6 linked regions of the Oryzias latipes genome follow. The protein of the gene in region 1 interacts with the protein of each later gene in a pairwise test. Links are inferred from orthologs where the notes say so. Each region holds a gene or a part of one and is shown on either strand. Other genes may lie near its edges.

Evidence for each region.
Region 2: the proteins of mad1l1 (region 1) and bag5 interact in binary tests that used the Homo sapiens proteins (3 or more experiments, as listed by UniProt). The two-hybrid records come from large-scale screens. The link is inferred for Oryzias latipes from reciprocal best matches to the Homo sapiens genes MAD1L1 and BAG5.
Region 3: the proteins of mad1l1 (region 1) and tpm3 interact in binary tests that used the Homo sapiens proteins (3 or more experiments, as listed by UniProt). The two-hybrid records come from large-scale screens. The link is inferred for Oryzias latipes from reciprocal best matches to the Homo sapiens genes MAD1L1 and TPM3.
Region 4: the proteins of mad1l1 (region 1) and tex11 interact in a two-hybrid assay, tested with the Homo sapiens proteins (2 studies listed by BioGRID and IntAct). The two-hybrid records come from large-scale screens. The link is inferred for Oryzias latipes from reciprocal best matches to the Homo sapiens genes MAD1L1 and TEX11.
Region 5: the proteins of mad1l1 (region 1) and cwf19l2 interact in binary tests that used the Homo sapiens proteins (3 or more experiments, as listed by UniProt). The two-hybrid records come from large-scale screens. The link is inferred for Oryzias latipes from reciprocal best matches to the Homo sapiens genes MAD1L1 and CWF19L2.
Region 6: the proteins of mad1l1 (region 1) and usp15 interact in binary tests that used the Homo sapiens proteins (3 or more experiments, as listed by UniProt). The two-hybrid records come from large-scale screens. The link is inferred for Oryzias latipes from reciprocal best matches to the Homo sapiens genes MAD1L1 and USP15.

Annotation. Positions count from the first base shown.
Region 1 is NC_019859.2:22,994,184-22,999,127, forward strand, and holds part of mad1l1 (mitotic spindle assembly checkpoint protein MAD1), read left to right. Parts: intron 1-1,371; coding exon 1,372-1,603; intron 1,604-4,944. UniProt on the Homo sapiens protein: Component of the spindle-assembly checkpoint that prevents the onset of anaphase until all chromosomes are properly aligned at the metaphase plate.
Region 2 is NC_019880.2:21,267,520-21,272,988, reverse strand, and holds the start of bag5 (BAG family molecular chaperone regulator 5), read right to left. Parts: upstream 3,823-5,469; 5' UTR 3,184-3,822; coding exon 3,128-3,183; intron 2,645-3,127; coding exon of another isoform or gene 2,516-2,644; exon of another isoform or gene 2,397-2,515; intron 2,262-2,396; exon of another isoform or gene 1,778-2,261; coding exon of another isoform or gene 1,755-1,777; intron 1,497-1,754; exon of another isoform or gene 1,330-1,496; coding exon of another isoform or gene 1,298-1,329; intron 1-1,297. Other genes in the region: apopt1 (apoptogenic protein 1, mitochondrial), read left to right, coding at 2,516-2,644, 4,507-4,704. UniProt on the Homo sapiens protein: Co-chaperone for HSP/HSP70 proteins. It functions as a nucleotide-exchange factor promoting the release of ADP from HSP70, thereby activating HSP70-mediated protein refolding.
Region 3 is NC_019869.2:21,742,880-21,747,308, reverse strand, and holds part of tpm3 (tropomyosin alpha-3 chain), read right to left. Parts: intron 3,090-4,429; coding exon 2,956-3,089; intron 2,791-2,955; coding exon 2,673-2,790; intron 2,226-2,672; coding exon 2,155-2,225; intron 1,259-2,154; coding exon 1,183-1,258; intron 425-1,182; coding exon 362-424; intron 255-361; coding exon 185-254; intron 3-184; coding exon 1-2. UniProt on the Homo sapiens protein: Binds to actin filaments in muscle and non-muscle cells. Plays a central role, in association with the troponin complex, in the calcium dependent regulation of vertebrate striated muscle contraction.
Region 4 is NC_019868.2:11,386,584-11,391,981, forward strand, and holds the start of tex11 (testis-expressed protein 11), read right to left. Parts: upstream 3,668-5,398; 5' UTR 3,550-3,667; coding exon 3,507-3,549; intron 2,346-3,506; coding exon 2,233-2,345; intron 1,908-2,232; coding exon 1,823-1,907; intron 1,695-1,822; coding exon 1,615-1,694; intron 1,532-1,614; coding exon 1,451-1,531; intron 1,346-1,450; coding exon 1,226-1,345; intron 1,010-1,225; coding exon 929-1,009; intron 840-928; coding exon 754-839; intron 661-753; coding exon 603-660; intron 494-602; coding exon 398-493; intron 318-397; coding exon 236-317; intron 42-235; coding exon 1-41. UniProt on the Homo sapiens protein: Regulator of crossing-over during meiosis. Involved in initiation and/or maintenance of chromosome synapsis and formation of crossovers.
Region 5 is NC_019871.2:20,781,946-20,787,408, forward strand, and holds the start of cwf19l2 (CWF19-like protein 2), read left to right. Parts: upstream 1-1,990; 5' UTR 1,991-2,029; coding exon 2,030-2,122; intron 2,123-2,968; coding exon 2,969-3,079; intron 3,080-4,095; coding exon 4,096-4,221; intron 4,222-5,463. Other genes in the region: alkbh8 (alkylated DNA repair protein alkB homolog 8), read left to right, coding at 190-831.
Region 6 is NC_019881.2:6,925,669-6,930,612, reverse strand, and holds part of usp15 (ubiquitin carboxyl-terminal hydrolase 15), read right to left. Parts: intron 4,713-4,944; exon of another isoform or gene 2,491-4,712; coding exon of another isoform or gene 2,309-2,490; intron 2,133-2,308; coding exon 1,985-2,132; intron 1,894-1,984; coding exon 1,720-1,893; intron 1-1,719. UniProt on the Homo sapiens protein: Hydrolase that removes conjugated ubiquitin from target proteins and regulates various pathways such as the TGF-beta receptor signaling, NF-kappa-B and RNF41/NRDP1-PRKN pathways.

The sequences.
Region 1 (4,944 bases):
GTGTACACATTTAATATAACTATAATTATCATAAGGCAGTTTAAAAAAATTAACAAACTATCAATTAATTTCGTACTGCAAACTTTAATCAGTGATACGGTAGTAGGTTAAAAAAAACAAAACAATATGGGATGCAGGGGTGCAACGATTAATCAATTAATTGATTTATCCAACCAGATCATTCTCTCTTAGCCAAGTTGTTAGTCGTATCAAATCAAATCGACCCATACCATTGGGGGTAAAAAACTAAAAAAGTTTCAAAATGAGATAAATCAAGGAATTTGTCTTGGAAAATACATTTGGATTTTTACTATAAGGTAAGAACGACCAAGTACTATCACAGCAGACAACACACATGTGATGACAGCAAAAAATGAAATGATCAGTCCATCATTCCAGTCAAATGTATGGAAACACTTTGAATTTAGCAAAGACTGGTGACCATATAGTGTGCTAGAATGTTCTAATAATATTCCCTTTGGATTATTTGGTTGTGGAACAACAACAGTGGGCTGAACTTTGTACACATTTAATTTACACTGGATTATGTTGCAAGAAATACAAGGAATCTGGTAAACTTCAACTGCACTGTTCAGTATCCAGGTATTCATCTCTGAGTCACACTAGTTGAGGTTTTGGCTAAAGATGTCCTGGATCGATTTTACGTCAGGGAATCGGATTAAATCGGATCATTCAAAAGGATCAAATATTGACTATGAATTGTATTGGCAAACACAAATGTTGATATTAATTGTTAGACCCCTTTGACAAGAAAAGCAAGCTTTATTAAGATGTTCTTAGGTTTTAACACAACGTAAAGAGTGATAGGACATCTTTATGCCATTCTGTTAACGGAGAGATGCTGGTTTTATACATGAACCGGTATGTCTTTTATCATCTGCTTTTTCCTCCTGCAAAGATTTATTATTCTAATGGGGAAAATTGTATCATCTTAGAATGTGTCTTAATCGATTTTGAAAATCTTTTAACAAGATGATGCTAAAAAAAAAAAAAGTAGGCCTAGTTTAAAAAAAAAAAAAAAATCTACAACAACGCTATATTATACCCACAATATATACCCACAATATATATATATAAAGTGTGGGTTTGCAGCCCTATAAGATGTGGTCTTTAATTTATTACAGTTTTTCTGGTCATAAAACACAGAACATAAAACCACAGATTTTTCTTATGGGATGACATGATGCAATTAAAAAAAAAAAAAATTTCATCTGTTATATTCCTGAAAATCCGATTGCAGTACATTTTAGTTCATATGTTCTTCATAAATATGTAGTCTTGAGGTGGTTTAAGAAGCAGAGTTTTGCGTTAAATTGCTCTTTCATTGATTGGCATTACTCTGTGTTTCAGGGAGACTATGATCCAGTAAAGACCAGAGTTCTTCACTTTAGAATGAACCCCTCCAGTGTTGCCAAGCAACAGCGGCAGCAGGAAGTGGAGACTCTTCGAGAGGAAGTGACAACTCTGAGGGAACTTGTACGTTCCTTGCAGGAAGGAGGTGGAATTCTGCATGCACAAGACAGCTCGGGCATTTACACCCCCAATATCAGCCTCAGTTTACCGCCATCCAAGGAGGTGCAGGGTAAGATGCCTCAGACATGGTGACAGACCCTTTCATAAATCATTGCCTTTTTGGATTTTCAAAAAGGCATGCAGTTAAATCGCAGGAAAACAACACAGTTATAAGAAAGAAAAGTGTTTTTTTAAAAGGTGTAAAATCCGTTTTTTTGTTCGTTTTTTTTGCCGATAATATGAAAATTCAGGGTGTCTGCAGGGTTGTAAAGAATAATTGAAGGGGAAACAACAAAAGTGCAAAAATGAAGGGCATTAAAGTGTTAAATTTGCTTTAAATCTTAAATATTTTTCCATCTGAAGTTTTTCATTTGATGCTTTCCAAACGTATGCCTTTAAAGAAACAAAGCACCTCTTTGGCCCACCCGACTCATAGTCAGTGTGGTGTCTGTGGCAAAGGATTCAGTGAATCCACAGGTCAAAATTTGAATGTGTGATCAGTTAACTTTCATGCTGTATCGACGCTTTAACCAAATGAACATTGCTAGACATTTTATGAACAAAATCTGCTGATTTACTTGGCTCACTACCACTGAGGCAGTGTTCAGTGTTTAATATGTAGTGGGTGGACCGTCTTTGTAATCTATCGCTGTAATCCTCTGAATTCTGCTACTGTGGTCACTTTCACAGAGTTATCTTTTCATGCATTTGTTTCATAATCTTTACTATTACATCCATCAGTTTAAGTAAGGGGTAATGTCTGACGAGATGTTTATCATGTAAGGGTTAATGGCCGACGAAGTATACATTATCACTTTTTAGCGCACGCCGTGGAAGCCTGAACGTTCCGACGTAAAGCGTTAAAAATTGATAATGCCCACTTTGAAGGCAATTAACCCGCTTATACCATACAAAAGCAATAAATATTAATCAGTTTTTAGTCCTTAATTCTTGTTTTTTTTTCTGATTTTGGATTGCTTTTCTCACAAAAAGCGGACTATTTGTTACGTGGCGCCGCAACACAGTTCAGAGAGAAAGTTCACCTCTTACTTTTAGTCCTAATGATGAAGCAAAAGGTTGCTCTAAAGAAGCTGCCGCAGTAATACAAAACATTTAAGCTATGTGATCAGAATTTCTTTTTTCACCGTGCGATTATCCTGTGGTATATCACTTTTTAATGCACACCCAACAGCCAATCAGAATCAAGTATTCACCCGGACCATGGTATAACAGAAATTAATGGACGACGCGGAGGCCTGCATTGAAGTCGCTATATCACGATTTACCATTCACACTCTTGCTGTATCACAATTTTTTACATATTTTTTTACAACACACTGTTTTCTTCTTCTTGATTGGCTGTTGACCTTGTCATTCAATCTCCTCCATGCCGGGTCTCCTGTATGAAAGTGTTCAATCTTCGATAGTGAGCAGATCTTTGTTTTTGGATGTGATTTATTATTCTACAAAGATTTGAGCTTCCATCCATCTATCTTCTTTCGCCTGTCCGGGACCGGGTCGTGGGGGCAGCAGTCTAAGCAAAGATGCCCAGGCTTCCCTCGCCCCGGCCACTTCCTGCTGCTCCTCTGGGGGTACCCGAGACGTTCCCAGGCCAGCCGAGAGACGTAGTCTCTCCAGCATGTCCTGGGTCTTCCCCGGGGCCTCCGCCCCGTGGGACATGCCTGGCACACCTACACAGGGAGGCGTCCAGGTGGCCTCCGGACTAGAAGCCCGAGCCACCTCAACAGGCTCTTTTCGATGTGAAGGAGATTTGAGCTTGAAGAGTTTAAATGAGAGTCTGGAAATATTCATGTTTGTCTGAGAAAAGTGTATAAAGTGTGTAATCTGGGGTTTTACAACTTGAAATCCTCTATAACCCTACTTTGCCGATTTCATCTATAGCAGGTTATTTATGGAGCGCTTACGCCTCGATAAACTAGGGAACACTGTAGTATAGAACATCTGGGCTGTGCTACTGGAATATCTATTTTAGGTGTGTATTATCAATGTGGATTATGACTTTCTTATGCAACAGGAATTAATTATAGCTTGTATCAGAGTTTCATTTGACTCTGTATGGAGTCTATATGGCCCCAGCTCGCCTGTGAACTTATGTGTTTACTCTCTGTTGCACAGATTTGAGTTTAAATCAAATAATAAAGTTTCATTAGTTCATGTAATGGCTACCGGTTTGTGAAGTCATATCAGTAAAAGTTCACAATTAAGATTCCAGTTGGTAATGTAACCACACTTTGTGCTATGAAAGCCATCGGGTGAGCTCTCTTTGGTGCTCATTATTGAACATTGTCTAGTCTCTAATTCTATTCTGTTATATATAGATTTAAATGTCAAAACGTGATATTCTGTTTAAAAATTCCATGTTTTTTTAAATGTTTTATTAATTTAACTCAAAAACTGCTGTAACTGTCCTGACCAGTTGATGTTAAAGCTTGTGCAGATAACTAACTTGTTACATTTATGAGTTTCTTAAGCCTTTTGTAACAATTCATTGTAGTTGCATTGAAACAAAACGTCAAACAAATAGATAAATTCATAAAAATTAAAGAATTTTACACAATTCTTTAGAGCACATTACAAAAATAGTATTGCCTCTGACATAAATGCAAGACAGTAAAATACCAGTTGAGCTGATGGTGTAGATGTCACAGACATCTAAATTCATTGGTCAATTTTTGATTTATAGTGATTTCATTCAATATAAATATTTATCCATTTAGTATTGATTCATTTCTTATACTATTCAGTTTAGGGCTGCACAATATGAGGAAAACTTGCGATATAGTGATTAATATTGCGATGACGATATAACTTGCGGTATATTAACATATAAACATATAAAACAACCAAAACATAATTTCCATTTCACTGCAACAGTTTAAAAATTACATTTCAAATGACCCACATCTAAATAAGGCGAAAAACATAGAGCATAAATGGGCTCCATCCGATTGGTCTATGATGTAAAGGAGTCCATTCGATTAGTCAAATACATAAAGGGATTTCTTTGTTTCTATAAATTTTTTCAAGTTGGCATGCGATTGTTTTAGCACATTTAAGGTAACCATTTATTGCCATTTTTGCCGTCTTTTGCGATATGCATATTGCACAGCTTGATAACGCAATAACGATATATTTGCGATACATTGTGCAGGCCTAATTCAGTTCATTTTTTTTTTTTTTTTTTTTTTGAGTTTCAGAATTAATTTTGTTGTGAAAATTGGTTTCACATGATTTAAAATGGCGTATACTTGTATAGCGCCTTTCTTCCTACAAGGACAAAGCGCTTTACAGTCACAGACCCATTCACCCAGTCACACACACATTCACTCACACATTCACACACTGATGGCGGCTCCGCTGCCAAACACAGGCCCTTGCCTACCACCAGAG
Region 2 (5,469 bases), on another chromosome or scaffold:
TGAAGATAGATCCTGGGGTCTGTGACCTTTGACCCTAAAAGAGCCATTTGGACCGGTTTCTTACAGACCGAAACCCAAAACGACATTTTATTTATGACCATTAAGCCATTCATGTATAAACTGCAGCTTTGAAATATTTCCAATAATAATGTTCTACAAACGTGGACATTATTTTTTTTTTGCTTCTGTTGGACAGCAGCACATGCAAGTTCCCTTCAAAATAAAATACACCCTGTGTTATAAAAGAGATCTTCCTGCTGCAACATGATTCAGTGGAATAAAAAAAAAAACAGAACAAGAAAGTCAAATCAAACATGATCTTTTCTATCACCATGATTTTAGGGCACCATCATCTTTTTCCCCCTTTCGTCATTAAATATAAATATGACAGGATTGGTGAAGAATTCTTTTATTTAAATCTATACATGTAAATGCAGTTCTATCCTTTAAGAATTTGATCTGCAACCACTGTGCAGCAGAAGATCAGAAAATGGGCTTCAAGTTTATTCTAACAATAAACAACTTTGACAATCGTCTACACTTTACTACACATATTAAAGACTAAACCGAAATGACGAAAAAATTGACTAAATGGACCAAAACTGTTATTTATTCAACTCATTAGCATCTTTCTTCACAGCTAAAGAGCCAGAGTGGAGGATGCAGGAGCCTCAGGTCGGTGACCTCTGACCTTCACGGTACACGAGGGCATTTGAGCTGAATGGAAATGTAAAACCATCCATCCTGAGGAGTTTCCCCCCAGAATGAGACCCACATGCAGTCCTCTGACTCTGGCCTCATGCATTTGAGGTTCTGGATTCCCTCTGATGAGGAGAAAACAGCTCAATAGATTAGATGTCAGGTTTTCCACCACATGCACGGACACGCGCGAGCATCACTGCTGCACACAAGCGAAGCGGCCGCAACCTTTTCCTCCCGCGGCAACAATAACGCGTATTAACAAAACCAGATTATGCTGGGCCTCCTCTAAAGCGGGTTTATGTAAGAGGGCTGGACATTTCCAGAGGGGAAAGCTGCCAAATCTCAGCATTTATTAGGATAATCGGAGTCCAGTCCCCGCGCGGACGGCCAATCAGCGCGCGCCTCCGTTTGGTTACAGCAGCCAGAGAGGGCCTCTGAGGCGCACGCGGCCGTTCGGAACCCGAACCGGACGCGGTTCAACAGCCGCCCCGCCAACGCTAGTCCCCCGCGGGAAACCCTGCGTGGCCGCTGGCTCTGCGGGCGGACGAGCGTGAAGCCGAACCAGCCCCCCCGCCCCGCCCTGACGCCGCCTCACCTCTTCAGGACTCCGAACACGTTCGCGCACATTCTGAGAGATGTCTGTTTCCATCAGCAGAAAGCAGGCGGCCGGCGAAGCTGGGGAGCAGCCGCGTGCGCAGACAGGAGCCCGCGGAGGTGTCGCGATGCTCCGGCGACCAGCAGACAGACTCTGCCCGCCCGCCTGCAGTCCGGCGGCTGTCGCCCCTCCCACCTCTAAGCCACTACGTCTGCAAACATGGTTTTGTCCCCCCCCCCCCCCCCCTTCTTTTAAAATAAAAAAAACCCCAAACACTTGACCTACACGCGCAGATATTTGACTTCGAAAGATGAAATCCCACCACCGGGTCTTTTTCCAGCCCGTTAACACCGTTGTGAGCTGTCGGTGATCACCTGACTGACTCTGCCCCACCTTGACCGCATAAACTGCGGCTTTACGCCGGCATCTACCCGCCGTTGAACCGCCCCAGTCTTACCTGCATAACCAGCGAACAGCCATGTACCCCGCTGCGAAGGAAAAGCCCCAAACCTTCTGTTGAAGATCAACATTAGCCCGCCTAGCTGCACCTTCACGGACTTACTTTCCCGTCTCAGCCTCGCCACTATAGTTTCACGGAGTTCGATTGTTTCGCTGAATCTACCCTCCCACTTCGTATTTTAATCAATATTTCAATCTCTGAGTGTAACCAACAGCTACAACTATATCTGTACACATTCCTAACACTTTGGTTAATCTTGTTGGTCATTATCTCGTTTAATAATGAAGCTTTTATCAGTTCAGACGCAGGGAAGGTTGTTGTCGGCCAACAGCGAGTGCGCTCCATTTAATCACCAACTCTGTGCGGAGACAAACTCGACCCGTTTTGTTTATGTTTTATTTCGTTATCGCTTCTGATAAAACATAAATATAGCAGTGTTTTTAAATAACGTACTCAAAACGTAGTTTGTAGCTTTGGTACTTGAAGCTTTTGCGATGAAAAGTTTTGACAGTATCTTTCTAGAAATATGTTTTATTTAGAGTTTAGTTTGAAACCTCATCTGCTCCGAACCCGTCGGGCAGAGACTTGACTAACGGCTTGCGAAGGTGCTGTTTCCGAGCGTCTCTAGCCGTTTTTTGCAGCTCACGTGACCACCTGTCCTACATCCTCGCGGAAGGACATACAGTTGGGAGACATGGGTTGTTCGCCACCGTTGCGTGTTTAGCTTTTCTGCGTGACAGTGCCTTGATTTTGCGGGAATGACATTCGGGGCAGCTGGACGCTTGTCGTGGAGGAGCGCGCGGAACTCCCGCGTGCAACTGCTGGATGTAAACATCCGGCGCAACGGCTCTAATAATCCAACGAGCCAACAGGATAAAGCCGCCAAGGTGCGCGCGCCGCCGCAGTCCGTTCCGCGTTGGTGTTTTTATCCCAGGCTCCGTGCTCACATTACCGGAGGAATCAGAAACGCTGAGGTTCTGATCCTGCTGTGAAAACCAAGATAACGACGCATGCGCACTAGGTCTGCACAGCCAAAAAGTCTAATTGACCTGCAGGTTACTGACTGGCTGAACTAAACATGGCTTTAACCAACTCCTTCTATGTTTAGTGCTGCTTAGGCCTAACGGACAGGCTTTTCATCAGCAACCATGAGAGATTTTCACGTCATCTGGTTCTGAAGTTTCATTTAACGGCTCTAGATCCTCACAGAAAGGCTGCGAGAATCAAAAGACACCAGTAGAACCCATCTGTAACAGCTGTCAGTGGGTTTGTTTGGGCTAATGTTTCTGATTCACTGTAGTAAATGTAACCGTAATGATGAAGAAAGTCCAAAGACTTCTGCAGCTGAAGGTAGTGATGTCATAACGCACCTTTTTTCAGGCCTCTGGGTCCTGGATGGAGTCTTCCTCCTCCCTGCTCTCCTCATGCCTGCTCTCCTCCGTGCTCTTCTCCTGCTGCCGTCTGCTCTGCACTGATAAGCAGATGCCTCCAGTTAGACTGCAGGGCCTCCTGCATCCCTCCTGCAGGGCCTCCTGCATCCCTCCTGCTGCCCTCCTGCAGGGCCTCCTGCTGACCCACCTCAGCCCCAAACCGTAGGAACCTGAAGCGCCAGAGTCTGATGGATTCTGTTGGTTATTCTTAGATGCGTTCACATGCTTTGGCCCGGTTAAAATGGGTTTTCTGGAGTCCTCTGGTTCCCTCTGCATCATGCCTGGGGGGCCGTCCCATCAAAAACCCTCAGACTGCGCTGGCTCCAAAGGGCCATCAAAGCTGCAGACCTATTCTGGATTTTAAGTCTGGCCTTCTAATCAGAAATTCATGTACAAATGTATTTAGATAGAATTCTCTTTTATGTGAAGAAATAGGAAGAGTCCAATTGCCATAATAATGTTCATAGTTTATTTGCTTTTAATGCATTGAATAGTTGGCCCTCTTTGAAAAAGAGTTTCCTGAAAAAAGCAAACAGTTGTTGGTTGATCTTCTCCTAAAGTTCTCCACTGTTGTTTTTCCACATCCAAAGAATCCAAAGGGAACATTCTTAGAACATTCTAGACACTGGATGGTCGCATGACTTTATTCAAAGTCTGTCCACACATTGGACTGGAATGATGGACTGATCCGTGTTAATGACATCACATGTGTGTTGCTGTGATTGGGCGGTTTGACCTTATAGTCAAATAAACCTACTGTACCTCAATCTAAATGGTATTTTCCAAGATCAATATAATCGATTTTAACGATTTTTTTAATGGTAGAGGTCAATTGGAATTGATTACCCTCTTGGCTCAGACAGATCGATCTGGTGGGACAAATTAATTCATTGTTAGTTATCTTTTTGACTTGTCTCTGTGTTTTTAACTCTGGGGGAATCCACAGGATCAACTTTAGCTCTATGGTTTTTATTTATTTCTTTTTCTCTCTAGTTTTTCCTTTATTTTTAGGTTTTCATTTGAAGTTTTTTTTGGTTGCTGTTAATTGCTGCTTTCCAAAATGAAGAAACAAAATCAAATTTGCTTAATTACCTTTAAAAGCCCTGAAAAAAAAATGGTTGCTGGGTTCTCCAGGGTTAAACGAACACCTTTTTCTGGTGTTTTATTTTCTTTTTTTTTTTTACATTTTTTTGGTCACTTGTAAAGTCCATCTTTGGACAAATGCTGCAAACATTAGGATGTGGGCATGGGACTGCGGTTTGCAGTCCATCTGTTCTTAGTAAATACGTTTAATTATTGTTCATATTTCCATTTTTCAGCGGACACCTTTGAGACCGGAGCCCAGCTCTACACATGACTGGATCGGCCCCCCGAACCCGCTGTCCAACCTGCGGCCGATCATCTACCGCATCCCTGAGGAGGAGTCGGAGCTGGAAAAGAGGCTGAGAAACCTGAGGCAGGAGACGGAGGACTGGAACCACAAGTTCTGGACCCAGCAGAACCTCAACTTCAGCCAGGTTGAAACCAACATTTTTTACAAGTGTGCCATCCTGTCCAGACGAGGTTTTCAGGTTCCTCGTTTCCCGACATGCATTCAGGAACATCTCGGCATCGGTGGGAGCTGCAGGACACGTGACACGTCCTTCCTCGGTTAAAACGTCCTCCCCCACACAACGGGGTCCAACATGGCTGGACTGACAGCAGTCGCTCCTAAAAACCAGCATCAGGAAAACTGATGCTTGTGTTAAAGCAAACAAAACACCGATTTGACGTTCCTCTGGGCCGCTCACTTTAAAAAGCACTTTAACTCATTTTATCAGTGAATAACAATATTGTGAAAACCTTACATATAATAAATAAAGAAGAGCAGGACTTGAGTGACACTGCTGGTTTTTTAAATCAGTTATTTTGTCCTGTGTGTGTCGGTATTTGAGATTCACCACCAGAGGGCAGCAACGCGCTTCCTGCACAGGATTTCTGCAGAGCATCCAAAAGCATCACTAGTCTTTAAATGCATTTAACAAAACCCAGAAAACAGTCAGCGTTGTGCTCAGTAAAATTTTAAAATGATCAGTTTTAGAGAAATTTACTTGCATGGCTCTATCTTCTGCAAATTATTTGTGTGTAAAAATATCTGAAGAAAGGGGATCATAGCTTTTAGCAGGTCAGAGTTTCTGAAAACCAAGTTTTACTAAAAGTGTTTTGTGTGGAAAAAGTCTGGTACAAACACAGCGAAAGGAAACGTGCTGAGTTTGAATCCATAAAAACCAGACATTAGAAAT
Region 3 (4,429 bases), on another chromosome or scaffold:
ATCTTGGGGAGAAAGGAAAACCGAATTACAGTGTGATAAAGTTTGTTTTTTCATCAACATTTATTTTTCTTTCATCAAGGAAAAGAATTTTATGGTTAAAAAAAGTCTTGTTTTTGCCATTTCATGATTTTAGGAATGACACCTTATAAAGTATGCACTTGGACACATGGAATGAGATCTGTACCTTCTAAATCATCAATAGTCTTCTCCAGCTTAGCGACAGATCTTTCTGCAAACTCAGCTCTGGTTTCAGCCTGAAAAAGTTAAAAAGTAAAACACTTGATGTACTGCACTGCTGACGGTAATTAAAGGGTAAAAATACATCTTTAGCGTGAAAAAGACATGTCATTTTTGTGCTCACCTCCTTGAGTTTGTCAGTTAAAATCTTGATTTCCTCTTCATATTTGTCCTCCTTTTGAGAGTACTGCAGAAAGAAATCCAACAGTTGTTAATGCACAGCAATCGCACAAGTCTACAGTGTAACAGTGTTCTATCAATCTATGCTGTACATTTAACCCTTGTGCTATCTTAGGCACTTTAACATTGGGAGTTACATGAAATCCTCTCCACCTTTATCCACCTTTGTCATGGTATGGAGAACACGTCAACGGTCATCTTGACCCCATTGGATAGCACAAGGGTTAATATAGTTTTGTGTTGTATCATTTAAACCAGGCAGAGACTTGGGTATGTGTCCAAAGCAAAAGATTGGAGCTCTTTATTGATAATCCCCAACTATTTCTAATCTGCTAAAAAAAAATGGATGACAAAACCAAGGCTCTGTGCTAAGACTGCTGCCTACAGCAGAAGATGGAGAGATAAATACAAGAAAATGGATAAAGGACATAGGTTATAATTGCATTTTACTTTACCATTAGACTACTTTGGGGTGTTGATGCATCAGTTTATTTGACTGCTGTGACAACTCAACCAAAACTAAAACAACTCAAGTATTAGTTAGAAATCTGTAAAAGATTTTAATTAGAGATTTTTTTTTTTTATTAGAGACATATCACAAAAAATCTACTGAAGACGTTTATTTAATTAACTGTCACGTTCCCACTGTGGGGCAATAGTGCCTGTAATTTTAATGCCAGATAAAACTACTATAAGTGATTTCTGGGGAATTTTAGGTCGAAGAAAAAATAAGAAGTCATGTTTGTGCTTGCAATGACTGCTTACTTTCTCAGCCTGAGCTTCCAGAGACTTGAGGTTGTTGGTGACATTCTTCAGTTCTTCTTCCAGTTCAGCACATTTACTGATTGATATGCATTTTAGAGGAAAAAAAAATCAGTGTAAGACTCTTTGAACAGAAAAGTGAATGGTCTACACTCCACAAGGTGAAAGTGAACTGCTGAGTCGTGGCTTAATGTGGCTTAATGCTCATGGTTCTTCCCTGAAAGGATTGGATTGTTGACATTTGGGTTTGCTTAAATGACATAGTTAAGTTACCTATTTTGCCACACCTCTGGAAAAGTCAAGAAATGAACTATTGAAACTCCACATCAGAACTTAGAACTGAAGAAGTTTCTCTAATGAGCAGCAAAACTTCTTTAAACATTCACCCATTTACACATTTCTCCACACACGTAATTTATTTGAATCTACCGGTACTTCCAATGATTTTTTTTTATATTTTTAGAGAAAATATTTAAAATGGTGTTATTCATCTGGTTTTCTCACCCATCAATTGGTCAATTTCAAGAAAACCCAATGACTGCATGGCTTAGATCAATAAATCTCATTATTTTTAATTTTCAAATTAAGATTATTAAAGATCATTAATTCTGCTCTTTTTCTTCCAATAAGGGAGATGATGCCCTTTCAAGACACATAAGTGTAAAACTTTTTAAATTAATAAAATCACATTATTAATTTTATAGTCCAGCTTGGGTCTAAACTTGACCTATTTGAACAGTGGCCAAGTCTGGGTCCCCCTGTGCTGGTCCCTAGCCCAGATAAAATACAGGGTTGTGTTAGGAAGGGCATCCGGTGTCAAAATCTCTGCCAAACCGACTGTGCGAATCAGTGAACACTGATTTGCTGTGGCGACCCATGAAGGGAAATGCCAAAAGGTGAACAACACCAACTAGATTAGCAAAAAGCTCATTTTTACATGAAAAGATAGGGTGAAGGCTTCAATTAAACACTCACGCCTCGGCAAGTTCTGCCCTCTCCTCTGTACGCTCCAGCTCCCCTTCAACAATCACTAGTTTACGAGCCACCTGGTTTAAAACAAGTAAAAGTCAAAACGATGTACAGTCTTTGTTAAGGTTTATATTAGTATTGTCTAAATATCTAAAAAAGAGTTTTGTTTCCACGGCTTACAGCATGGACAAAGTAGGTTTCAATGTCTTTTGTGTTATACCTGACCAGACAATTGTGCTAATAATGCAACTTTATTAGAACTTGAAGTAAAACATTCAGAAGTTATTAGTTGCTATAGTAGATAACATTATCTTATTTAGTTTAACTAAGACAATAAAAGATCGGTTCAATTCATTTTATGAGGATAAAAATGTATCAAAATATTTTATAATTACCAGATCAGAATGTCATATATTCTCAAAAGTCAGAAAACACGTATACCAAAAATAAAATAATGAAAAATAAAGTGCTTTTAGCAATCAGAGAATTCTGCTAACAGCTCTTAGCAACATAAACCAACTCACCTCTTCATATTTGCGATCGGCTTCCTCTGCTATGTGTTTAGCTTCTTTTAGCTGAATCTCCTGCAGCTCCATCTTCTCTTCATCTTTTAGGGCCCTGTTCTCGATTACCTTCATGCCTCTGTGCAGAAAAATATCACACTACGTTAGAAGTTTGTGCTCACATATTTGTGTGTATGTATTCAAACATAACTGGTTTGGTTAATTTTATTTCTCTGCTGAGATAACAATCTCTTTCCTCCTCATCCATGAGCAAAACTACACAGATTTCAGAAGAGGGTTATACCTTTCACTCTCATCTGCTGCCTTCTCTGCTTCCTCCAGTTTCTGTAACGCTGTTGCCAGTCTCTCCTGAGCTCGGTCCAACTCCTCCTCCACGAGCTGGATGCGCCTGTTCAGGGAAGCCACTTCAGCCTCAGCCTGACCAAAGGTAAGCCAAACAATGTGTTACTAATACGTGCAATGGTACAAAAAATGTTTTCAGGCAGAAAATTGAATGCAACAAGTTATTATATAGTAATAATTTTTAAAAGCCCTTTTTAAAACACCCAAATACACTTTATAAAGAGGTAAAGTAAAAAAGAAACAATAATATTTTGAAGAACAGAAGGAATGAAGAAACACATTCATGAAAGAATTACAATTTGAAAGAAAAAGCTGTTCAAAAAAGCTGTTCAAAGACTTCATCTCCCAGCAACCCCAGCAACAGTTTCTGGATGCCACACGCCTGACTTTCATTTGCAAATCACTCACAGTACACCTAAGCACTGAGCCTCACTCAGTGTGAAGTATTGTTTGTGCCACTCTGCCTGCATTACCGAGTGTTGTATTTGGACCCGATCTTCTGATTTCCTGACCCTTGTCTTTCACTCTGTTTGCCTGCTGCCTGCCCCAAATCTCGCCTGGATCCTGACTATTTCTGTTTCTTCTCTGATGCTGCCATGCTCTTTATTGACTCCTGCCTGCCTGACCCTGATTTAGCTTTGTGGACTTTTAGCTGAGCTAATAAACATGCTGCATTTGGATCCAGCCGTCTGCCCATTCTTGTGACAGAATACTTTGCCAAACATGGATCCAGCAGGAGCTCCCAGCCCGATGAACCCGGTGGGGTTTGCTTCTTTGTTGCTGGAGCACAGTTGCCACCTCCCTCCAGGAGTAAAGATGCAAGAATTATTTAAAGACTTTTGGATCTGAACTGGACTTTTTCTATAGCTTTAGTATTCTTATGTAATAGGTGACAAATGGATTTATATTTAAAGGGCTGTCTCTTTTAGAGCTCTTTGGTCTTGGTCATGGTGGAGAGGTTGGAGTCTGAATGTTTAGGGGAATAAATAGGTGTATTTTATTCAGATAATAAGTTCAAACAGGTGACATTAATACAGGAAAGAAGAGCCACAGGTCTCTGTGGGACAGAATTCTAGCCTGTTTGTTGGAGCTAAATACTTATTTTCAGCACCATCATACAAATAACTCATTAAAAATCATACTACTTGATTTCTTGGAATATTTTTTGTTTCATTCTTTCTCTCATTGAATGTATGATTAACATTACTGACCTCTTTTATCTTAGTAAGTGGGACAATGGATAGAATTAGAGGCTGATGAATACTTATTGACTTTGTCACCTTTATTAAGGTGTTTATTTTCCAATTACAGCTGCCAGTGTAAGATTTATACAGAGGAATAACACACAGCTGTCGCTGAGTATCAACCTTGAATCATAGATTTCTCAAAGCATTTCTAAAGATGCCAAAATGGCT
Region 4 (5,398 bases), on another chromosome or scaffold:
CATGTCAAGAGAAACTTTAGATTCCAGCATCTCATTAAGACCTGAAAACACAGGTTTGTGATGCAACCTTATCTGTCTGTCACTCAAAGATTCAAATGACACACTAGGAAGCATCCAATCTAAGTGGTACAAGCTTTGTGACCACCAATATCAGACTCATTATTTCTTTCTATTCTATTTCTATTTGTGTTTATTTTTGTAGCACATCACTGACGGCAGTCAGATTATGACTGACCTGCTCTGACAGGGCTGTCTGGGGCTCTGCATCTGAGGAGAATTCTGATCTTTAAGTAAAGTCCAAACGGGGTCACACACTCCTGCCAAACACCACCATAGGAATAATCACTCTTCATCCTTTTACAATAAATATTTGACGTAATATTGCCTCACGTCCCACCTTGTTTGCTAAGCTGACAGTATTTAGAGCCTTTTCCTGAAACTTCTCACAGTCCCACTCTAAATAACACGTGGCGAGCAGCCGCAAAACTTTGGCCTGTTTATGAGTGACATTGTAAATATTTTCTTTTTCTTTTTAATGACTTGTTCTCAAAGATTAGCATTCCTGCTGCTAACTCTATTCATTCTGTCTTACGGGGTCTTACCAGAGCTTCTGATCCTGGACCATATTTCATGTTTGCTTTTCCAATGTCATAGCTTTGGCTACAAAAACAAACAAGGAGGAAGAGATGCATTTTTACCCTGGATTTTTTTATTTTATTACTTTTTATCAAACCACATTAATAAATCTACTACCTCAGCCAAAATGCACTGTCTTCAAACTTTGTCAGATTGTATGCCTCGATTCCAAAGTTGTAACAGACAACTGAGAGGTACGCCGTCTGTGATGAAAGCTCACACTTAACACCCCCCTCACTTTCAACAACATGTGCTTTGAATGTAAGAGAACAGTAAGGTAGCTGTGTTTTACTTCATTTGGCAGCCGCAGCAGTATGTCTTTGCATCGCTCGATGAACACTATGGCTTCTTGGTTGTTCCCTTGAGCGATAGCCTGTAACAAAGATCAGATTGTGTATTAAATGAAGGGAAATGAACTTCTCTCAATTAGCTATTTCAGAACCCCCCCTTCATTGTTTCTCAGTCACAATTTTACTGTCTTACACTTCACACTGCAAGTCTGTCAGAACAGCACCTCCCAAGCTGCAAAATATCACAAGAACAAATATTCACATTTAAGGTGTTGAACATCACATGCAGCACTGCTCACCGACTCAGCCTGGCACGACAGGATCCGAAGAAGGTCCTTCTCCACATCTGCCTTGGATGACAAGATGTCAGGTTCGTCATTGGCTCTGGACGTTAGCTGGCGGTAAAGGGTTTCCAAGCTCTAGGAATATACCATGTTGGATCATTTGTAAAAGAATAAAATAATTCCATCCTTCTCCTTTCAGCTAAAAACATTTCCAGATTTTATCCAACGTTTCTTTCTCACCTTGACGGCAAGTCTCAGAAAGTGATCTGCCATCTGAAAGTTTTTGCAGTTCAGCCAGGCTCTCCCTGCTTTGCTGGCCATCTGGAAGGATAAGATATCAACACACAGGCCTTATCCTCCTGAAATGCCAGGCTATAAAAAGGAAAACCTCCAGAATTACTTACCAAGATTTGTTTTCGAAAGGCGCCCTCTGTTGGACTGTCAGACTCAAAGCAGTACAGCAGGTTGCATGCAACATGGCGAACTGATGATGATAAAAAATATTAAATGAGGCATTAACCTTGCCTGTAATCCCCATAATTAGGTTTGTGTTTTAGAAAATCAAGAAAGGTAAACATTTAAAAACTATACAGACTGCAATTGGAAGAATACCTTTAGCTTTTTGGATTGCAGTTATGGCGTTTCCCACATTCTTGGTAACAGCCCAGTTCCACAACTGGACGGCACACTCCTGAATCTGTACCAGTAAAACAAGACACTAAAAACATGCCAATAACTTATATTATTAGACTTAAGCATTCAGTTTTACTACTAAAACTACTAAAAAGTAGTTAAGCTATAAAATAATTTCGAAGTTGCAGGTTCAAGATATGTTGGGATAGGGGGAAAAAATGTTTAGCTCCACATGAACATATAAAGTCAGAATTCTGAGATTAAAGTCAGAATTTTCTATGCCCTTTTTTTTTTTCTTTCTCCATGGCCCTAATCCTCTTCTGTACATATCTGTCCAGGACTATAGACTATATTAAAAATAGTACAATCTAAAACGATTGATAAATTACCTGAGGATCTGGTATTTTGAGAAAGGAATCTAAGCCTGAGACTTCAGAGAAAAGCTTCTCTATAACCTCATCGCAATCTGTTAGATCTTTCTGCTGTAAGTTTTCTGTGAGACCTGTGAAAAAGCAGAACGTTTGAAATGAATAGACACACTAAGAGTAAAAGATGTTCAATAAATATATGTGACACATCCAATAACTGCTCCCCTTGACAGTAACTTCTAGTTTGCCATAGCAGAAAAGGGTTCTGGCATATGCTTGTTCTCTTATGCTTTTAAGATCTGTGAGGCGGCAAGTTGTTGTATATGAAGCTGATGCAAATTACACCCTCCACACTTTTAAAAGTGGGTGTTAAAAAGAATTCTGTGAGTGAAGTTCACAGTCAAAGCATAATGGTAACTGTTATGTACACTTCTAAGTTATTTTTGTTGCTGCAAAGCCTCAAATCACACTTTTTTTAATAACTAGAGACATTTGTTTTTAGTTTGTTCTATTTTTGTTTTTTTCAAATCAAGCTGGACAGTGAAAAAAATTACTTGCCCTTTTTTCTTAACAATTTCCAAAATATTGATTTCTGCCAAATGTTCTTTATCGTATTTATCCAGGATTGAGCAAAAAAAAATAATATATATATATATATATATATATATATATTATATACACACACATATATATGCATAAATGTGTGGGTAACAGAAACAGACCCTCCAGCCCCCTGAGGCATAATGCTCCCGTTTTAAAGAGTAAAATGATAATTTTGTTAACCAATTCAAAATAATAAACTTTATTTATACCCTAAAAGTCTTGCCAGCCATTGTTCCACAACAAAAATAAAACCAAGCATGTCTGTCTGTCATAAAAACAGCTTCAAGATTCTCTTCGTTAACTTTAAAATTGCTCTCATGATTTCTGTATAGATTTTTCTCTGAATAAACCCAACATTTATATAATATTATTTATGGCAGTCTGCATGTTTTTTTAAGGTAGTTTTAAAGAAAGAAAAAATATAATTAATTTGTTTAAAAAATAAAGCAAACATTTTTTTCACTCGGACAAAGGCTAAAGCTAAGGTAGGATTTATGTGCTTAATTCATTTCATTAAACTAGCTTGACAAAATAGTACATGGCCTAGCAGATGGTTTAGCTAGGTTAGCCCCAGTTATATCGCGATATAACTCATTGATTACCCCCTACCCCTGCTGATGACGCAGTTACAATTATTTATGGTTTGTATCTGTAATTAGCCGTGTAATGTAGTTGAACCGACTTATACTCACATTTCACAGTCGAAATAAATTCTTCCATTTCGAAAGCTTCCATAAGCGGGATTGTCTGGAGGAGATGTCTCACCAAAGGAGAATTTACAATCGCCCGAAAATGCCCGCGAAAACGAGGCGGACGTTGACGCCACGGAGTTCGTACTATGTGAGGTCAGTTAATGCTACTTCCTGTCTGCGGACAAACTTTAACATTAAAAGAGCCTTTTGGGCAAGTTTCTGTGACCATTGACTGTAAATGCGGACCAAAATCCATTTAGAGCCGCAAAAGCTCACTTTATCAATTAGAAAATAGAATTTATTTATGTAGTTTTCAAATATTTACAGTAATTTAACTATAACAGTGTTATGTTTTTCTGCATTTATTAATTGTAACTTTATTTACTTTTGACAAGATCCTTTCAAAATAAAACACACCCTGTGTCAAATAGGATCCTTTGCTACAGGAGATTTACTTAAATTTAAAAAGATAGAAAGATAAATCCAATATAACATTTTCTATTATTATGATTTTGGTGGGCCTTCATTTTTTTTCCTTTTACTCTCAAATATTAAACCAGGCAAAACAAATCTATATAATGTAAATATAAACTTCTACAAATGTTCCTCCATGCACTTCCTAGGCGTTTCTTCTCTTTAACCACACACAATAGATTAAACCTTTTACTGTCATGATGCTCAGTTACCTGACATTTTAAAAATCTAAAAATAAATGACAAAACGTAATTAACTCAAAATAATCCTGACTACGACAAAACCATTATTTACGCAAATTATTAGAATTTTTTCAAAGCCAAAAAGCCATAATGTAGGGACAAAGAGCCACATTTGGATTTGGAGCCTCAGATTCAGACTCCTGATTTAGGCCTATTGACTACTAGGCTATATGTTAAAAGGGTTTAAAAAAGGATATGTTATTATTACTATTTTTCTTTTTTGATGTTATGTGCTAGTTCAATTGATAAATAAAATCTATGTTACAAGAAAGCAAATATCAGGTAAGATATACAAGGTAGAAAAAAGTAGCCATCATAGTGTAGGTAATATTTGCTTTCTTATATTCTGGCTAGATGATTAATTTTTTATATATAAGTATTCTTAAATTAGCGTTTAATGTAAATAAATAACAAAATAAATACAATGTAAGAAATAACATGGAAGGGCTTTTATTTTGATAGTTTTTTCTTTCCACTCAAAGACAAAAACTCATACACAAACACACCCATACACAAAAAAAATAATCAAGAAAATAATGTTTAAGACCAGCATGAACTGAAGGTTCAAACGTTTGCCGTTGTGTTGCAATCCAGAGATACTCAGGAAAAAATTAAAACAGTCTTTGGGACCACTTGCTCAAAAACATTGATGATTAAGCCATTTCTGAAGCTTTGACACTTTATTGAGAGCAAATCTCCTCAAACAAGGAAAACACAAGAACAGTTGTGATCCATCTCCAGAGTGGCCTGTTGAACAAATTACCACAAGAGTGCAGTAACTTATTCAAGAGATGTCAAAAGACCCTGCTATCTTTGAGTAAATAATCTAAGGACTGATTAGATTAAAGTCAATCTTTTCTAAAAAATACATTTGTCTACAACATTTGGTGTAAAAGTAACACAGCACGTGAGAAAACAAACATGTTACAGTGGTGAACCAGGAAGACTTGCTGTGGAACCACAGCTTCCAGTGTCTACCAACAAATCCTGAAGAGAAATGTTCTCCATCTGTTTGACTTTAATCTGAAGCACACTGGCTGATCCACCTTTTAATGCCTTAAAAAGGACAAAAAAGTCTTGCAGGAAGAAAATAGAAATATGGTCTTAAACACACTGAGGTTCAATTAACTAAAACTGAAAAGGAATGTTATTGAAAACTGATGTGACACAGAGGTC
Region 5 (5,463 bases), on another chromosome or scaffold:
TTTTAAATTACAATGAGGTTTGTTGGTCCAGCTAATGAATATTTCTATAAATGTTAAAGTTCCAAGTTTGTCTAGCCTTGATGTGCAACAAAGTTCCATTTTTATATTGTTTTGTTGTCAAATTTAGATTTTTTTAATCGAAAGTCTTGTTGAAATAATGAGTTTGAATGTTTTTCCTGTATTTACCAGGAGCGCCGACTGGCAGCAGTGAAGGAGCTGGTGAGACTTTTGAAGCCTGGAGGTCAGGCACTTATCTATGTTTGGGCTTTTGAACAAGAATACAACAAGCAGAAGTCCAAATACCTCAAGCAAATCTTCAAAGAAGACCATGGAGAGTTCAGTTCCACCAACTTACTGTCAGAAAAGAGCCAGAAATCCAGTGGAGAAAAAGTATCTGATCTTTCCTGCCACTTAGAAAACAGCCATAAACCTTCTGACATGCAAGGTGTTAGTAGAGTTCCTGATGCTCGCCTCAGTGTGCACACCAACCGCACAGCCTTTACTTCCCAGGATCTTTTGGTTCCCTGGCATCTTAAGGGAGGGAAATCGCAGCTAGAGGAAAACCCTGACTTAAGCTCCAGCCCCGACTCAAGCCTGGGGTCGGACTCAAACTCCTCCCAGCGTGCAGATGCTAAGCTGAGTCCAGCATTCCCTCAGGCTTCAGCTTCTGCTTTGAAACTGGAGAGTAGCACAGTTCCAGTTTTTCATCGCTATTACCATGTTTTCCAGCAGGGGGAGCTGGAGCATCTGTGTGCTCAGGTGTCTGGAGTCAAAGTGAAGAGCAGTTACCATGACCAGGGCAACTGGTGTGTTGTGTTGCAGAAGGAATGAATGCAGAAAGATATGTCTGTGCGAATAAAAACTTGGCAGAACAAAAAACAGAACAGTGAGACAAAATGAAAAGATGTTCTTGTTGAGATTTTAAGAGAAATTAATAAATGTAGATTTTTGAGAAACTGTCTTTTACAGGGCTTTGATATTTGTGACTCTTTTGTTCGTTTTTGCTTGTTGGTATTTCATATTTTAAAAATCATTTTATTTTTCTTTTATCTTTAAAAATTCAAGTCAAGTCAAGTTTATTTATAATGCGCTTTAAAAAAAAACCCAGCAGAGGCTGACTAAAACACTTAACAATGAAAGATTAAAAAAAAACAACAATCTAAAATAAACAACATAATAAAAAAGTAAGAAACATCAATAAAATCACCAACTCATACTGAGCTAAAAGACAGAGGGAAAAAGGGAGTTTTCAACTTGGATTTAAAATCATTCAATAAATGAAAAAGAAACACATCTAAGTGATTTTTGGTCTCCTTTTAAGTTCAGTTTGTGCTTTGAAATTATCAGGGACTTTAAATTGAGAGCAGCCAGCACAGATTTTTTGTTTTATTTCCAACATTAAGGCAAATCAATCAAACTTTATTTTTTCAAAGCAAGTTTGTTTCGCACATTTTATGTACAAAGGTAGTTCAAAGTGCCTTACATAAAACATTAAAGGAAACATTTACTGGAGATATTAATGGGGTGATTATTAAAATAAAAATTAAAGAAAGTTAAAAAGAACGGAAATTAAAATAAGCTTAGAGTAACGGTGCTGATGTAAACTTTTGAAGTTAAATTAATTAAATGCTGTTGAGAACAGGTGGGCCTTTAACATGGGTTTAAAAAAACTGAGTGTTTTAGCAGATCTAAGGCTTTCCTGAAGTCTGTTCCAGAAGATCTGTGGAGCATAGAAGCTGAATGCAGCTTCTCCGTTTTGGTTTGGACTCCAGGAACTGACAACGGTGACAACAGATGATGGGAGAGGTCTGCATTGGACACTGAAGCCGCTAATTTGCACATGTAATGCTTGAAAACTATAGAACAAAATAATGATAGTGGGCCTTATATTTATCATAATCATCTTATTTAGCTCTTTGGAAAATTAGGCATTAAGGGTTAGGGTTAATGGAACTACAAGAACCACAAAACAACTGTCGTAAACAGCGATGTTTTACGACAGTTGGCTAGACCCGTGTACGACGTAGTTATGGCGGCGTACGGAGTCAGTTTTGAGAGTTCCAGCAACATCGAAGAAGCGAAAGAAAAGAAACGACAGGCGCGACAAGAGGCGATACAAAAGGTACGAACTAGGACTCTTTAGAACGCAGATGTGAAGTATTTCCGCGCCGCCGTTTGTTTTTGTTTACATTGATTGACCTGCTAACCGACATGCTAAGGATGGTACCATCAACGATCAAGTCAACCGGGACTATGTGACGTTTTGAGAAGGTTTGCTGTCGTGATGAAGTTTTAAGCAAGCGCTTGTCGGGACATTTTTCAGATTATTCCTGTTTGGACCATTGCTGCATGCTCCCTGAACGCTTGCAGGGAAATATGACACAAACACTGAAAGTGGTGAAAGTCAGTGACCGATATAGCACAGCAGACGGCGGCAGCCTGTCTTTTTCGTGTTTACATTTTGTCCAGATTGTAGTTATTCACTGTCCACAGATAGAAAACAAGAACATCTTAATAGCTGTATTCAAACATGAACATAGCTATTTACGCAGCACTTACAGCTGTTCCCTTTAAATGCACATAAATGTGTTGTAGACTCTTATCTGTTCTGCGCAAGCGCCAGGAAACTGACAACAACCGAGTGGAGCCCAGAACTGAGGAAAACTCAATCTATACATTTATCTTCAACCGATATACAGCAAAACATATTTAGCCAAATCTCTTTACTTTCTGTGCTGTTTTTATAATCTGAATATAATATATAATCGTAATCAATTTTCCAGCTCACATTTATACTTATAATCCCAAAATAGTATGTGAAGTCTAGATTTTGTTCAAATCTTTGTTTAGTGTTACCATTTATTTCTAGACACTTCAGCATAATTTAACATAATGTGTGAGTACATTTCTGTAAAACCACAAATACTGGTATGCTGTAGATATTATAATAAATGTTATTTTTTTTAAGGCTAAGCAACAATATGAGAAGGAGGAGAGGAGAAAGGAGCTGAAGAGGCAGAGAGGAGAGGACACCTGGATACTTCCTGAAGTCAACCAGAGACTGGAGCAGTTAGGAGACGTAAGTTGTATCTGTTTCACTTCAGAAAGACATTTAATAAGCAGCACAATGACAGAAATACATCATTTAAAGACCCACTCCAATGAGTATAGTATTTATGTTGTTTTTAACATGTTTTTGTTGCATTTTTCTCATGTTGAATAAAATATATCAAGAAAATTGAGATTAAAAATGCATTTCTGAGTATTTCTGTATTCATATTGTTGTGAATCAGGAGCAGACAGTCTGAGCTGAAATCTGTCTTAAAACTGGACGACTGCTCGCCAGTTTTGTTGCACCGGTAATGTTAGATTGGGGTTGTGAGGGGCTGTGAGCTAGCTGGAGGGAGTGTAAACAAAGGGTTCATGGGTAATGAGCGCACTTCAACAGTCCAACCCACAACTCCGAGGTGAATTTCTAATGAACTCCTGCCACCCTGCAGAAACTGTCCTAGAAAACAACACAGATTTTATAAATTTTTGCCTAAAAGAGCATAATTATTATTAAAATACCACTGGGAATGCTTTGAAAATGGATCAAAAGATGACTGCAGTTGGACGTGAATCATGTTTAATCATTTTCTAGAGCTATAGGTTGTTAAAGAAACATGCCAATGGTGGCACATTTCTTAAGAAAGTATTTATGCCTTATTTTTATATTTACCTAATCTAATTTTCATCTTTTTTTCCTTACATGCTGCTTTGAGTTTGCCATTGTCGGAGAAATAAAGTTTTATTTATCATTTTAGAATTTAAAACCACCTGCTTCACAGCAAACCAGTTTTCATCTTTTTTAAACCATGAAAACTTATTTGTTTTTTTATGTCAACATATTGGGTAGTTGTTTTTTTTTTTCCTGTACTCAAGCTAAACGTTTGCTGGTAAATCTTCATGTTTGCAGAAGTGGCTTCAAAATTTGCTTATGCAGAATTTTGGCAGCTTCACTCTTTTCCTGCTAATTGTATTTATTTCAATTCAAATATATTTTTTAAACAAACTGAGGTTCCATTTAAAGAACTAAATTCAAACATTTACCAGGATGGATCTTTGAAGAGCAAAAAGAAGAAAAAGGAGAAGAAATCCAAGAAGAAAAAAGAGAAGAAGAAGGACAAGAAAGAGAAAAGGAAAACGGAAGCAGGAGATGCTTCAAGTGTGGATTCAGAGGTAGACCGTCTTCCATGCATTACTCTGAGATACAAACACACAAATGATCTGTCAACAAGTTTTTCTGAGTGGTTTCTTAACAAAGATGTTTTAATAATTTCTATAACTGAAAAAATATTTTTGGGTTGAGTTCAGGTGAAGAATTTAGTTACGATTTAACACTAGAACGCCCAGGATTCTTCACTCCCCCTGCAGCGTCCAGAGCACAGCCAAATGGCTGGGTGACTCGAAATGACTCAAGGCCCGTACACACCGGGACGAATATTCGCCAGGCGTTATTCGCCAGCGTTTTTCGCCACGTTTTTTGTGTTCACACCCAGGCGATTTTCGCTGACGGTGAGCCGAGCGAACATGCAATTTCATTCCCTGACATTAGATGGCGCTTAATGTAAACAGAAATACTCCTGTACACAAGGTGGCGCTGCGCACCTTTACGCTTCTTAAAGTCGCTTTTCACTCAGAAGAAGTGAGCAAGTATTTACGCGCTTGTCAGAATCATACAAAGAAAACATGAATATTTCAAGCATCAGTAGCTCCAACTGGTACTTGGTTCGGGGATATTTAAGAATGTCCGTCATTATTTCTTCACAGCAGTGTAGACGCTACTTGGCGTCTATCTTCTTCGCTGGTATGTGTGCTCAGCAAGGCAGTTTTGTGTTTGAGCGCCCCCAAGTTGTGTTTTACTGTAACTTCAGAAGCTCCAGACACGTGTGCAAAAGCGGCATTCTCATTGGTCGAATAGATTTCGACACGACGCGTCGAAAAAAAAAACGAACCCGAGGCGTTTTTTTTTTTTGACGCTTTGGCGCGTGGCGTTTTTTCGCGTCGGTGTGCACACTCTCATTGGTGCCCTTTGTTTAGTCACGAGGCGTTAAACGTCGGCGAAAATTGCCGGCGAAATTCGTCCCGGTGTGAACGGGCCTTAAGGCTACATTCACACTGCAGGGCTTAATGCTCAATTCGGATTTTTTGAAAAAATCTGATTTGTTTGCTAGACCGTTCACATTTCCAAGTAAATCCAAACTTTTGTGATCTCCAGTGTGACCGTGACACGACCCAAACGAGACCCGCATGCGCAGAAGCTAGAAGAATACTCAACAGTGAACAACGTCACTTGTTGTTTGCGGAGCCAACGTTAACAATGGATGTCAACAACAGTGTTGTCAAAAGCGGAGCTCTTTTTGTAATATTACATTTATTTTCACAAAGGAGCAGCACAATTACAATCTTCTCATTTTAAGA
Region 6 (4,944 bases), on another chromosome or scaffold:
GTAGCCTAAACCAACTGTAAAGTCAAATTCAAACCTGCCGAGAAAACAAGGACAGATTGGAAATCGACAGAAAAGGCGCTTTTTCTTTTCCTAATTCTCCCTCCAGGGGATTTGACATGAAATCATAATAAAAACATGATCTTGTTTTGGATTCTTGCCTCTTACTCATAACAATATAAATCCATAACATACAGTTTTCATAAATGTTCTATGAATTAATTTTGTTCGTTTCCTGAAAACATATTTTGACTTTAAACCGGTCCGTGATCAAATGTAGACGACACAAGGAACAGCCCGTTAGCATAGCGTTTAGCGTGATAGCATCTTAGCGTGATAGCATCGTCGTGTCAGTGTAACGACACCGCTTTTTATTAAACGTTCTGTTGCTACTGTTAGTCCAACAGGTCTATCCTCCAATTCTGTCTGGGTTCTGTAAAAATGGTCACATGTTCCGCTTAGCGTAAACTAAAGCTACACGGAGATGATTAGCGGAGGTTACGGAGTGATTCATGCGGCGTGTGCGCTAGTGTTTATTTATTTTCCTCAGTCTCGCGGAAGTAGCTCCTCTTTGCCTCTCAAAAGTAAATCGTCTGGACCAACAAATTAACCGCCCAGCCCTAATCTAACATTAAACCCACTGAGTTCCAGCTTCAACCACATAAAATCAATTGTCAGTCGCGATACAGATGTCGCCAAGTTGGAGCCAGAAATTTTCAGTGAGCACTGATTGGTCCAAATTGGTTTAAGTCAAGACGTTTCTATGGCAACCACCGTCATCAATCAGAAGTGAGCTTGTTGAAAGGGGGTTTCACAGACTGTCAATCAAATGTTATTTAGGCATCTTTTTTTTTTTTTTTAGTTTTTGACTCGCAGTAAAGGGAAAAAAATATTAGGGACGTGTTTAAAAAAACAAACAAAAGTAGCAGAGCAAGGAGGATTCTTCTAAAAAATATAAAAGAGTGAAGCTACTATTACATCGCTCTCCGCAACATGCGCTCAAGTGACCACTTGCATTTGAAAGCCTATGTTCGTGCATTTTGGACTTCCGTGTTCAAAAGTCTGGCATTCACCGGTCACTATGCAGTTTTTCCACCACTATGTACGAAACACGCAGCCATTGAACACGCATTCAAAGGTTAAACCAGGACCAACTGTGACCAATCAGGGACTCAGATTTGCTATTGACGTATGGATGGCGTCCTCTTTAATGCACAGAAGTGTCAGCTGTTTAAAAATTGATCATAGAGGAGAAATGAATAACAGCGTTTTGTGTCCGGTGTGAAGTCTATGACGGCAAGTCTTTCATATCCAAGAACAAAGCTGTGATGGAAAAAGCCTGGAGCAAGATTCACGAGATTTATGCCGCTACGCCTTTTCACACAAAGCCTCGTTCAACTGTAGGTGGTGGACATGCGCCAGTAAACAGTCAAAAAATAAAAAGAAAAAAATGCCCCTCCCTGCCTTTCCGGTGTGAACACCATGGGGCTAAACACGGGTTCAAGAACGCACACTCTTGAACGCGCGTCACACGTGTTCGTAGCATTATAGCTGTTTATTTCTTTATAGAAGTCTACAGGATTTTGGCTTTTTGGAGTCAGCAGGTACTTCCTGTTTGGAGCATGAGAGTGGGAGTTCATTTTTCATATACAGTCAATGACTAAACCACAAGCTGAAAAAGGTCGTCTAACCCCTACAAGGAGAGAAGGTTCTGGTGATCACCTTAAAGGGTCTCGGGGTGACGTAGCTGTACTTGCCCGACCACAGCTGTTTGATGAGTTCGGCGTAGACTCGGGCGATCTCCCCCTTCATTCCCAGCGGGTTGTCCTCATTCAACTCGTCTGTGTACTTGTCTTTGAGGAAGTAGTCCGTCAGCGGAGGAGTGTTGCTTAAACACTGACGTTCAGAAGCAGAAAACACACAAAATTAGCGACCATCTCACTTCTAAACTACAAAGGAGACTTGAGGAAGGTTCTCCAGACCGCACCTGCACAGCAGAGTTCATAAAGCAGGTGTTCCCTAAGTTGGATAATCCACAGAGTCCTGAGCGCTCGCTGGGTCTGCTCTGGTCGGAGTAGTCGTAGCTGTTGGTGTAGGGGTGGTAGGACGGCAGACTGTAGCTGGAATTCTTCACACTGCACCACAAATGCAGAAAAAGCATCGCATTAGACTGAATTTTTAATGTAGCATCTACAAACACTGACTTCAGGACAAACATTTGATAGCCTTTAGGACTAAACCAACAGCAGACCCCTCCCCAGACAAAAAAACAAACTGAGTTTTCCGGAAAGAATCTGGGGGCTCTTTCCACCTGCAGCAAGTAGCGGACCTCTGAGGCAGAGCGCCGCCGCCCGCCTGCGCGTCCCAGCGCTCGAAGGACACGGCCGCGATGGTGGAGGCGGGCGCCTCGCAGCTCAGCACGTGGTGCTCCACCCTCCGGGAGTCCAGCTCCACCGCCTCAGGCCGCAGGCACCACCAGCAGCAGAGGAGCATGACATCCCAGCTCCGCCCCGGGCCCGGCCCACACCGGCCCGCATGTCAGCGGCCCGGGCTGAGCGGGAGGCGCATGTAAGGGCGCGGCTCCAGCGGGAATCTAACCGGGATGGATGTCATGGAGGCCTTTTGAAGTCCAAAAAATCTCTATATATATAAAAAAAAAAAACTTCTGGATGTCCTCCCCTCGGTAATTGTTGTGAGCTTGCCGTCTCCTCGCCAAATCCCCTCCCTCTGTCCTCTGCTCCTCCCTGCGGCCCGTCTGCTGCTTTCCACTCAAGCCTGCGGATATTTATAGCAGCGATGAGGATGCTCAAGACTGGAGGTGCGCACAGAGAAGGAGGGGGGGAGCAGCCTGCATCCAGCTGAGGCTGCAGTATTCACCCGTCTGACTCGGCGCTCTCCCTCAAAGTCATTTTCTTGCACAAGTGTCCTGACGCTTTCTCACCACGCCCTTACAGAACAAATGTAAAATAATAATTTTTAAAAAATCCTCGCTCTCCTGACGCCTTCAGCCCCTCACATATCAAAACCTGAAAATCACGGATTCCCTGAACGATTCGGTGGATGAAATGAGCCCTGAAGGTCACTCAGGACCGCAGAACGGGTGCAATAAGCTCGGGGTAAGGGGGGGGTAGGACATAAAGGGGAGAGTGGAGGAAGGAGAAAAAGAGCTGAGAATCATGGGAGCATCGCTGCTTCGGCTAAAATCGGTTATCCAATACGGGAACGCTTCCAATGAAGGAGGGAGCAAAGCAGGAGAGAAGGAGAAAACCAGCCCCCATGCATAATTAATAGCACTGCCATTAATGAATGAAGGAAGAGTTGCTCATTTTACCCATAACCCCCTCTTGTTACGCTTTTTTTTTTTTTTTTAAACAACTACACGACTCCAAAATAAACACATTTCAGGAGAACTGGGTTATTCCTTAGGAGAAAACTGACAGAACAGGAAGTTCACTCGTGGATTTCTACAGATTTTCTTTCTGCATTCTAGTTGTGTGCGCAGAAACGAGTCGATGTCACACACACAGGCGCACAAACGTGCACTAAAACCCAAGCACACACACAGGTTGGAAGGAAGAGTGAAGTGGAACGGCTTCTACGACAGCCAAGCAGCGCCGTCCGTCACACGGCCGACTGACAGGAAGCAAACGCTTCCAGGAAAAGACAGACGAGTGAGCCGGCGTCCCAGAGGACGCTGAGGTTGAGGTGGAGCTGCATGCCGGAGCCACGCCCATTTACAATCTACCTCCAAAAAACAATACAAATCATGAATTAATTAGAATTCATCTTTGGATTCCTGGGCTTCCATTGTTCGGACTACGGTCAGCCTGTCCGCATCTCGCAACGTGCAGACGTTCAAATGGAAACTAGCAAAGAGGAGCTTGTTCCTGAAGGAGGAAACTTTTCTAGTTTGGCTTTGCCCCCCTAGACTTGGAGCAACAAATCCCACGCTCCAAAATCTGTTTAGCTCCGTACACATCTGGCATTTAACGTGCATTCTTGAACGCTCGTTTAGCCCAAAGTGTTTACACTGGACAAGCAGGGAGGGGCTTCTTCCTCTTTTTTTTAACTCTTTACTAGCACATGTCCGCCACCTACAGTTGGAAGAGGATGGTGCAAAATATCAAAGCGGTGCAAATCATTGCATGTTGGGTGCGACACGGAAAACTGTTCGGTTCATCTACGGCGCCCTGGCAATGGTGGATTAGGTTATGAATAAATCAGGAGAGTTTATTTGAAAAACAGACGCAGACGTCGTCAGGCTCGTCTCCGTGTCTGAGCTGACCAGATGAAACTGCGGAATTCGGCCAGTTTCTATCAAATTTGAGTCGCTGATTGGTCAAAGTTTGACCTGGATTAGCTGGTAACGTGCGTCCAATAGCTGCGTATTGTATGTACAGCCCCAAAAGGGTCGTAACGCAGAAGCTTGAAACGCACATGTAAGCGAGTTTCCGAGCGCGGTGTGACGACAAAATCCCAGCAGCTCTCTGTGAGAAGCTCACGCCAGCAGCAGCTCACAAAACCTGCGTTGTGTTGATTTACATGCATTTTTTTACTATTTGTAAATATTTCGTTGCACTTTGAATTCAGGAAACTCGCAAAAAAGATTTTTATAAAAGGTTTTTGTTAAATATATTTCACATTTACTGGACATTTTTGTCTGATTCACAATTTGAATAAGGAAATACTCAAAAATGAAATCTTGAGCTTAATTTTGTCCTCTATCATCAGAAAAATGTCCCAAGAACATGTTAAAAGAAAACATCAAAAGTACCATTTCATCAGACTGGGACTTTAGGTCAATAATCAAAAAATAGATAAAATGTTGAAATATTCAGAGTTTTAGGAGATGAAATGATCTCTGCAGCTCAGCTCTGCCCCAAAATCCTTTTGATCATGCAGCTCAACCAAAACGAAAACCTGAGTTGATGACATTTCAAATCAGAA